Linked DNA regions of Coturnix japonica. The protein of the gene in region 2 binds, or shares a complex with, the protein of the main gene of each other region. Links are inferred from orthologs where the notes say so. Each region holds a gene or a part of one and is shown on either strand. Other genes may lie near its edges.

What was found. Proteins that work in one complex are often made in the same cells at the same time.
Region 1: STRIP1 (region 2) and STK26 share a complex: the UniProt entries of both Homo sapiens proteins name them as parts of the core of STRIPAK complex. The link is inferred for Coturnix japonica from reciprocal best matches to the Homo sapiens genes STRIP1 and STK26.

Annotation. Positions count from the first base shown.
Region 1 is NC_029519.1:3,339,390-3,343,468, forward strand, and holds the start of STK26 (serine/threonine-protein kinase 26), read left to right. Parts: upstream 1-1,263; 5' UTR 1,264-1,543; intron 1,544-1,597; exon of another isoform or gene 1,598-1,640; 5' UTR 1,641-1,715; coding exon 1,716-1,757; intron 1,758-4,079. UniProt on the Homo sapiens protein: Serine/threonine-protein kinase that acts as a mediator of cell growth. Modulates apoptosis. In association with STK24 negatively regulates Golgi reorientation in polarized cell migration upon RHO activation.
Region 2 is NC_029541.1:1,697,960-1,702,317, forward strand, and holds the start of STRIP1 (striatin-interacting protein 1), read left to right. Parts: upstream 1-1,541; 5' UTR 1,542-1,568; coding exon 1,569-1,685; intron 1,686-2,081; coding exon 2,082-2,151; intron 2,152-2,374; coding exon 2,375-2,449; intron 2,450-2,561; coding exon 2,562-2,696; intron 2,697-2,927; coding exon 2,928-3,048; intron 3,049-3,740; coding exon 3,741-3,809; intron 3,810-3,998; coding exon 3,999-4,105; intron 4,106-4,342; coding exon 4,343-4,358. UniProt on the Homo sapiens protein: Plays a role in the regulation of cell morphology and cytoskeletal organization. Required in the cortical actin filament dynamics and cell shape. Part of the striatin-interacting phosphatase and kinase (STRIPAK) complexes.

The DNA of each region.
Region 1 (4,079 bases), on a different chromosome or scaffold from region 2:
GAGAATCTACTTGGGTGTGTTAAATAATCAGGCAGGATTCAGAGTTGTTAGGAGTCGATAGTTATTCATTTATTTACTGATCCGCTGTACACAATTTAATAAGCAGTAGAGATCAGTAGAAATCCTCTTTTGGTCCCAAACATTCGTTAATCAAAATCTTTCTAAATTGAAGTGCACAGTACAAACTTTGAGAAAACAAAATACTCCAGTCATTAAACCTATCTCCTGATGTCCTCTCAGTTAACCTGGGTGTATATAACTTCACTCAGAAGCCTTTTACAGCTATGTGTTTTTTGAAGAGCACAGAGGGGTTGTAATACTTTAATAACGGTGAAGGCTGAACAAAGTGGCAAGTCAGAAAATAAAGTAATACCAGCATGAGCCACAAGTCTGTCCTTAGCTAACATCACTGCGAGTTGTTTTCTGGTTCAAACCACAGGGAGTTAAGGTTGGAAAGGCTGCTGAACGTTGAAATTCCTGGCGCTAGCACAGCCTTACCTTAAACAGAGGTGTTTTGTGCTCCTTGCCACAGTACAGCATTTCTCCATGTTGTAATGGAGAGAGACCTCCTTTGATCACACCCTTTCCGAAGGGAACCACCCTCTGGACGGGGTACGGACAACAGCCTGCTATCTCTACTGACCTTCCCATTGCTTGGCTTTCAGGCCCATGGAGCTGTGAATTTGAGCAAAGTCCTCAAGGATATTTGTATCTGAATATGAGTGTGACCACCGCTCATGATTCCTGTGCGCCTGCTCAGAAGGGGAAGACAGGCGTCATAAAAGATATCATTTTTAGCTTCACTTGAGTAACTGGCAAAACTTCAATGCATAGGAACGTGAATCATGCAACACGGAGAGGTGACTCACATACGAATGGGAAAAACGTCGCCCTAAAACAATGTCATTTTCTCCTGACCCACAGTGGAAGGAGAAGGTGAGGAGAGGCAAAATAAAAAGCCAAGAAAAGACCATAAACGTCCGCCGGATTATTCGCACAGGGGACAGCGATGTACGCGCACTGTGACCATGTTTGTGGGCACTGCGCTCGGTAGGACGGGGCCTGCAGGGGACAAGCATTGCCACAAGGCGCCTGGGGGGGACACAGCGCCGTGACAGCGCCGCAGGGCCCACGGCAGGGCGAGCATCCCCTGCCGAACAACACCGCGCTCACAGCCCCATCGCCACCCGGCCGCTCCTCCCCGCCCAGCCCGTAGGCGGGGGCAGTGACGCCGAGCCCCGTGCGGCGGCGGCGGCTCCGCCCCACGAGGCCGGAGCTGAGACGGAAGAAGCCGCCGCCGCACAGCAGCCTCCTCCTCCTCCTCCTGCTGCCGCCCGGGGCCCGACATGGCGCTGTGAGCCCAGCCCCAGCCGTGCACAGAGCCGTCACCCGGAGGGCACCGAGCAGCCGCCGTCCCCGCTTCGGGAGCGGGCAGGGGGGCATGGGCAGGGCCGCCGCGGGGAGCCCGGCGGGCATGGCACAGCGGCCTTAGGGGAGCCCTTCCCGCCCGCGTCGCGCAGCTCGGCCCCGCGGCCCCAGCGAGGTGAGTCGGCGGCGGGCGGGGCCGCGCGGGGAGGGAACGAGGGAAGGAGGGAGCGCGGCCCGCGCTGAAGCCGCTCCCCGCCGCTTTGTCCTTCCAGGCCCCGCCGCCGCCCAGCAGCAGGGAGGCCGAGAGGAGGGAGCAGCGGGCGGCGCCCGGCCGCCGTAGCCCGGCCATGGCCCACTCGCCCGTGGCGGTGCAAGTGCCCGGCATGCAGGTGAGCTCCGAGCCGCTCCGGTCCCAAAATGGAGGCGGCGGGCAACGCTCCGGCTCCGGAAGCGGCGCCGCGCGGAGGCCGCCGTTGGGTCGTGGGGAGTGCGGGCGGGCGGAGCGGGGCGGCCTGCAAGCGGGGAGGCCTCGCTCGGTATCGGGGGAGAGCGGGCCCGAGCCGTCGCGTTGCGGGAGGGGCTGCGCTGAGGTAGCGGCGGGCCCGGGGAGGAGCCGCGGTGCCGCGTACCTGCGGCCCGCACGGGGCTGAGAGCCCTTCTCCGCTTTGTTCGGGATGGGCCGCGACACGGAGCGTGGAAGAGCTTCTGAAATTGGTGAAAGGCCAAACGAAGTGAATCGGGGAGTGCGCTGCAAGTGACATATCGGCCCCGTGGGGCTGCCCACCGCCGGCGCTTGGGCCTGTAGCACTGAGCCCTGCTGCTCTGCCTGTAATGAGGGCCTGGCGCTCAGGGAAGGGTGCGAGTGGAGGTCCGATGTTTGTGCTGCGTGCCGCTGGGAGCCATCATCTGTCAGAAAATGCCACCTCTCCTTGGCTGGGAGCGAGGCCCGGTGTCCTTCGAGCGTTTGTGAAACTTGTTTAAACAAACAAACAAGCGATATGTAAGTGATTTTTCAGAGGGAGGCTGGGATAGCTGTGACTCTTCCTTCTTATTCTGCTGGACAGCCCCTTGTGAGTTTGGGTGCAGATCTTTATCAAACAAAGAGGAGCTGAGCTCATTTCAGCGCTGTTTTCTACCTGTCAGGCTGGCAGCTCTGTCAGCATTTTTGGCCTTTCTCTCAGCTTTTGGGGTTGGCTCACCTGCCCCATAGCTGAGGGACTGGGGGGTTGCTTTTCCTTTCCTCATTTCCAATAACAGAGAAGTCTTTATGATACATCAAAGTGAGATACACAGCTTGGAGTTCAGGTTTCAGATCAGAAGGTTGAAATTTCTCCTGGTTGGTTATCTTCCATGTTTTTTAGAGTGTAGAAGCGATGTATAAAGACCACTCCTATACTATTCTGCCTTGGATGCAATGCTGAGGTTTGGTTTACCTTTTTCACTTCTAGTAACTTAACGACCTTCTGAAATCAGTAAAATTTGATCGTGCAATTGTTGGTATAAGATGACATAAGCCACACTTTCTATCCTCCATCTTCTGTTAATGTTTTCATATTTGGAAGACTTCCTTTTTCAAGGTGCAAACTTATGAGCTCCTTATTGTCATACCTCCTTGATCCATTGCTGACCTATTTTCCATGGCTGCCTTGTCACCACCAAAGGACCTTGGAAATTATTTGAGGTCCTGTTTTCTGTTGTTAAACCAATAACGTTTATGTAATAGTTCCTTTAGTGCTGTTAGTTTAACCCAGATCTCTGAAGGTATAGACATATGTTTAAAACTCTCTCTGCTTTTTTAACTATTAGATATGTGCAGCTGTAAAGAATTAAGAAATAGCTTCTTTTGATGAAGACTATTACACAAGTCCAGACAATCTTGTAATACAAAGGAATTGGATTTGGTGCAAAATTACTCACCTCGCTGTTCCTTAAGAGGGATTGTAATACAGCTTAAGAAAGCAAACAAAAATCTCTCTTGCAAAGGTTGATAGTCTAAACCTTGCTTTTTCCCCCCTCCTTTTAATACCTATTTGAACTGTTCATTCAAGATCATCCAAGTGATTACGAAAGCATCCCTGCATCAGCTCAGTGTTAAAATAACTCATGGCTACTAAAGAAGGAATGAACAGGTTTGCCTGTGAAGGAGGGAGATCTAATAGCTGTATTAAAACTAGCACCGTGCACAAGTGCATGTCATGTCACGCTCCTTGTTTGCAGCCTGTGTTGAGGGAAGTGTTTTCACCAAATATAACAGATTGAAACAGAATCTGCCAGAGAATGTGTTTCAGGTATGAATCCTTCAGTTTTACTGTAATCCTATGATTTCCATCCCAAACAAACAAATCAGGCTCTAAAAAGACATTACCAGTTTATCACCGAAGCATTACACAAGCTCTTCTGGCTGTTTTAAGATCTCTTAAATGTTTTATAGCTGAAAATACTGCAGGTCCCATAGAGTTGTTTTGGTCAACTCGAACTCTGCCTGTGAGTAGTATGACAACAATGGAAGACCCAGAGGTAGTATTATCTGCTGCCCTTATGAATAGTTCCAGAATGATGTGTTTGTGTAGTGGTTGCATTCTGTTGAACCTGTCTCATGTCCTTGACAAAACCAGATGTTATACCACACAATTCATGCCTGTGCAAACAATTTCCTGAATATGTGGGTTTTTTTTTTCCACTTACTTTGAAAGGCCCAGTTTGCATCAGTT
Region 2 (4,358 bases):
ATCTCTTGCAGCTTATTGTTGGGGGAAATCCCTTGCAACCAACCCAGTGAGGTTCCTCCTGGCTTTTTTTCCCCCCTTTCTCCCAATGCCTCTTTCTTCCCTTAGCAAAGGCAGGGAGGGATTCGCTTCTTCCCCCACTGCCTGTTACAGAGCTGACATGGGACCCCCACCCAGAGAGCTGCAACCAGGGATGGGGGCTGCTCCCATGGCTCTGTATGTGGCTGCGGTGCTGCTTGTCCCTCAATGGGGGGGATGATATGAGGATGGATGGGGCAGCTTTGCCCACCTTCCTGTGCCCTCTGCTCTGTCTCTTATGGGGCTGTGTCCCCCCAGCCCTCATAGGCTGTGGGCAGGGGGGGTCTTTCTAACCCCAAGCTGGGGGCTGCAGCTCCATCTAAGCCATGTATTGGGAGGGGGGGGGAGGCAATGTCAGGCTGGGAGGGAGAGAGAGAGAGAAAGAGAGAGAGGTTTATTTTGTATATGACTGATTTTTAACGAATGCAATATGATTAATCCTTGCAGACGAGCAATAAATCATTAAAAGTCTAATGAAAAAAAAAACAAAAAACCAAAAAAAAACGAGTAGGAGCATAAAACGACCAACATGGCAGGTCGGTGGGTGAGTGCTTACAGCCTATGGGGGCACATAGGGGGGTGGGGGTCCTCCAAGCCCCCCCCCCAGCCCCTCCAAGGCCTGTAGTTGGGGTTGGATCCTCATTCACTGTAATGGGGGCTTTGGGCCCATATGGGTTATGTGGGCCCCATAGATCTGACCTGATTAGTTATAACCCATATGGGTTATATGGCCCCCTGTGGGTTATGTGGGCCCATGTGGGTTATATGGGCCCCTGTGTGTTATGTGGGCCCCTGTGGGTTATGTGGACCCATATGGATTATATGGCCCCTATGGGTTATGTGGGCTCATATGAGTTATATGGGCCCCTATGGATTATGTGGGCCCATGTGGGTTATGGGTTATATGGGCCCCTATGGGTTATGTGGGCCCCTATGGATTATATGGCCCCCTATGGGTTATGTGGGCCCATGTGGGTTATATGGCCCCCTGTGGGTTATGTGGGCCCCTATGGGTTATATGGGCCCCTGTGGGTTATATGGGCCCCTCTGGTGGGATCTGCTCCCCCTATTTGGGCTCTGAGCTGGTTCCGGGGTCACATCAGGTCATTCCGGACCCCCCTTTGGTCCCCATCCCCCCCCCACTTCCTGCCACTTCCAACATGGCGGCCCCCAGCCGTCGCGTCACGTGATGGCCGGAAGTGCCTCTCCCAACATGGCGCGCGCCACACCTATCATGGCGGCGATGGGGCGGAGCTTCTCCTCCGGTCGAGGCGCCGCACCGGACGTGGCCACCGGGGGCGGGCGGCGCTGGGCGGTGCCGCGGCCTGAGCGTCTGAACGGCGGGACCGGCGGGAGGTGTCATGGCGGAGGCAGGAGAACGGCCGGAGCTCGGCGCCACTCCCAACATGGCGGCGGCGGCTCTACCCCGGCTCTCCCTGCCGCTCCCGCGAGAAGGAGGGGTGAGTCCTCGCGAGATCTCGCTGTGTGGAGCCATGGAGCCGGGCGGCGTTGTGGCGGGGCCGCTCCCGGCCAACAACAAGGCCCGAAGCGGGGCGGGACCGGCGGGGAAAGGCCGAGAGTTGGGCCGACCCCCGAGGAAGGACTCCGAGGTCAGAACCGGAACCGACAGAACCGGGCCCGGCTCCGCGGGGCGGGAGAAGGCCGGACGGGAGGGGCGGGGCCTAAGCCGGGCCGGTTCCGGGAGGGGCGGGGCCTGGTCCGGCCGGTTCCGGTGCCGTGGGCCCGGCCTGGTTCCGTCCCGATCCCACTGCGGCCCTGTATGGAGTGAACAGCTCCAGGGGGCGGAACCTGCGGCCCAATGCGGCAGCACGGCCGGGGGGTGGATTGGAAACGTTGGTGCTGCTGTGGGGCTGCAGGAATGAGGGGGGTGTTGGGGTTCGTTTGGGTCCGTTTGGGTCCGTTTGGGTCCGTTTGGGTCCGTTTGGGTCCGTTTGGGTCCGTTTGTGTCACTGAGCCCCTCATTGAGCCCCGTTCTTTGCCCCCAGGGCTACTCGGAGTCCCCAGACCTGGAGTTTGAATACGCAGACACCGATAAATGGGCGGCGGAGCTGTCCGGTAAGGGGCCCGTCCTCACAGCTCAATGAATCAGCATTGGGTTCTATGCCCTGATCGTGACCGAAGCGGTTCTGTCCCCTCCAGCGTCGCTTTGTTGCCTTTAAACACCTCATTCACATTAGAAGGGCTGTGTCACTTCATAGCAGCTGTTCCTTTGCCATTAACATTGAGCAGCCATTAACCCGTGGGTCGCAGGGTGACGGTTCTCTGTGCTCTTTGGCAGAGCTGTACAGTTACACCGAAGGCCCCGAGTTCCTGCTCAACCGCAAATGCTTCGAGGAGGATTTCAGGATCCACGGTGAGAGCCCCCCCTTGGAGCTGGGGGCACCAATAGGGCTGGGTGTATCAGGTTGTGAAGTCAAGCAGCCCTTCAGCCCCATCCCATATACATCAATGCTTTGGCTTTGCAGTGCGGGACAAGAAATGGACGGAGCTGGACAAGAAGCAGCATCGCACCCACGCCATGAGGCTGCTGGATGGGCTGGAGGTCACAGCCAGGGAGAAGAGGCTGAAGGTGGCCAGAGCAATCCTGTATGTTGCACAAGGTACGTGCTGGCGTTGAGCTGGAGGCCTTTGCTTTGTATTTCATCTCATACAAGTGGAGCTGAAGCAGTTGTCAGAGGAAGGAGAGTGGTCTAAACTGCCCCTGCAAGAGGGCAGCTCTGTCCTTTGCTTTTCACCTCCTGCTTTAGCATTAAAGATGTGACGTTCTGTCCATCTGCAAAGCACATTGGCTGCACAGAAGGGCTTTGCATCCACTCAGGGTGTCGTTACAGGCACGTTTGGGGAGTGCAGCTCCGAGGCTGATGTCCAGGCCTGGATGAGGTACAACATCTTCCTGCTGCTGGAAGTGGGGACCTTCAACGCGCTGGTGGAGCTGCTGAACATGGAGATCGAGTGAGTGGTGGGAGCAGCTGCTCCAGGAGCCGCTATGGGGCTCTGCTATGGGCTGAGATGCTCCAGGAGCCGCTATGGGGCTCTGCTATGGGCTGAGATGTTTCCCAAAAGGTGGCAAAAAAAAAAAAAAAAGCCGCTTGGGGCTTCTGCTATGGGCTGAAGATCTCCAGGAGCTGCTATGGGGCTCTGCTATGGGCTGAGATGCCTCCAGGAGCTGCTGTGGGGCTCTGCTATGGGCTGAGATGCTCCAGGAGCCGCTATGGGGCTCTGCTATGGGCTGAGATGCTTCAGGAGCCGCTATGGGGCTCTGCTATGGGCTGAGATGCTCCAGGAGCCGCTATGGGGCTCTGCTATGGGCTGAGATGCTCCAGGAGCTGCTATGGGGCTCTGCTATGTGCTGAGATTCCTCCAGCTGGTGGCAGCTGTGTTGTTCCCTGCCCTGTTTCTGTTCTATTCCTGTTCTGATTCCTACTCGAATGGCTGGCATTGCTGCGTGTGGATGTGTAGACACACAGGATGCACGCAGCAGATCTCTAACAGCCGTGCTGTCTGGCAACAGCTGCGTTCCCCCTCTGCTTGATGGGGGACTTGTTGCATTAGTGCTCACTCCAGGCTTTGATTCTGACACTTGGATTGCTTATAGTAGAGTTAAATGCCTCAGGAGCAGCACTGAAGCTGTTCTCTCCCTGCAGTAACAGTGCAGCGTGCAGCAGTGCAGTGAGGAAACCTGCCATCTCCCTGGCTGACAGCACAGACCTGAGGTATGGAGCTCTGCACGAGGAGCTGCTGTGTTGGCTTTATACCCCAGTATAAGAGCCCCAGCTCCCTGTTATGGAGAGTGAATGGGTGGAGGTGGGCTGTGGTTATGGCAGACCAAACCTTCCCTAAGAGCATTGCAATGTAGCTCATCCCAGCCTCTGGTTTTCAGCCCAATCTTGTGTTCTGGGCAGGGTGCTGCTGAACATCATGTATCTGATCGTGGAGACGGTCCGGCAGGAGGCTGAGGGGGATAAGGCTGAATGGAAGAGCATGAGACAGACCTTCCGAGCAGAGCTGGGTGAGGAGCCCACGCTTGTACAGGAGGGTTGGATGGAGGTTCCAAGGGCTGATGGGGAAGTGGGGGAGGTGGGTGTTGATTCTGGGCCTCAGGGTTGGTCTCTGCTATTGCTGAACCTTGGAGCAGGTGAGGGCAGGGAGCAGAGGAGCTGCATGGGGTGAGATGGGGAGCTCAGAGGTGGGGGTGGGAGGCACAGCAGGGTGAGCAGAGCCTGACTGTGCTGCTGGTTGGTTCCAGGAGCCCCTCTGTACAA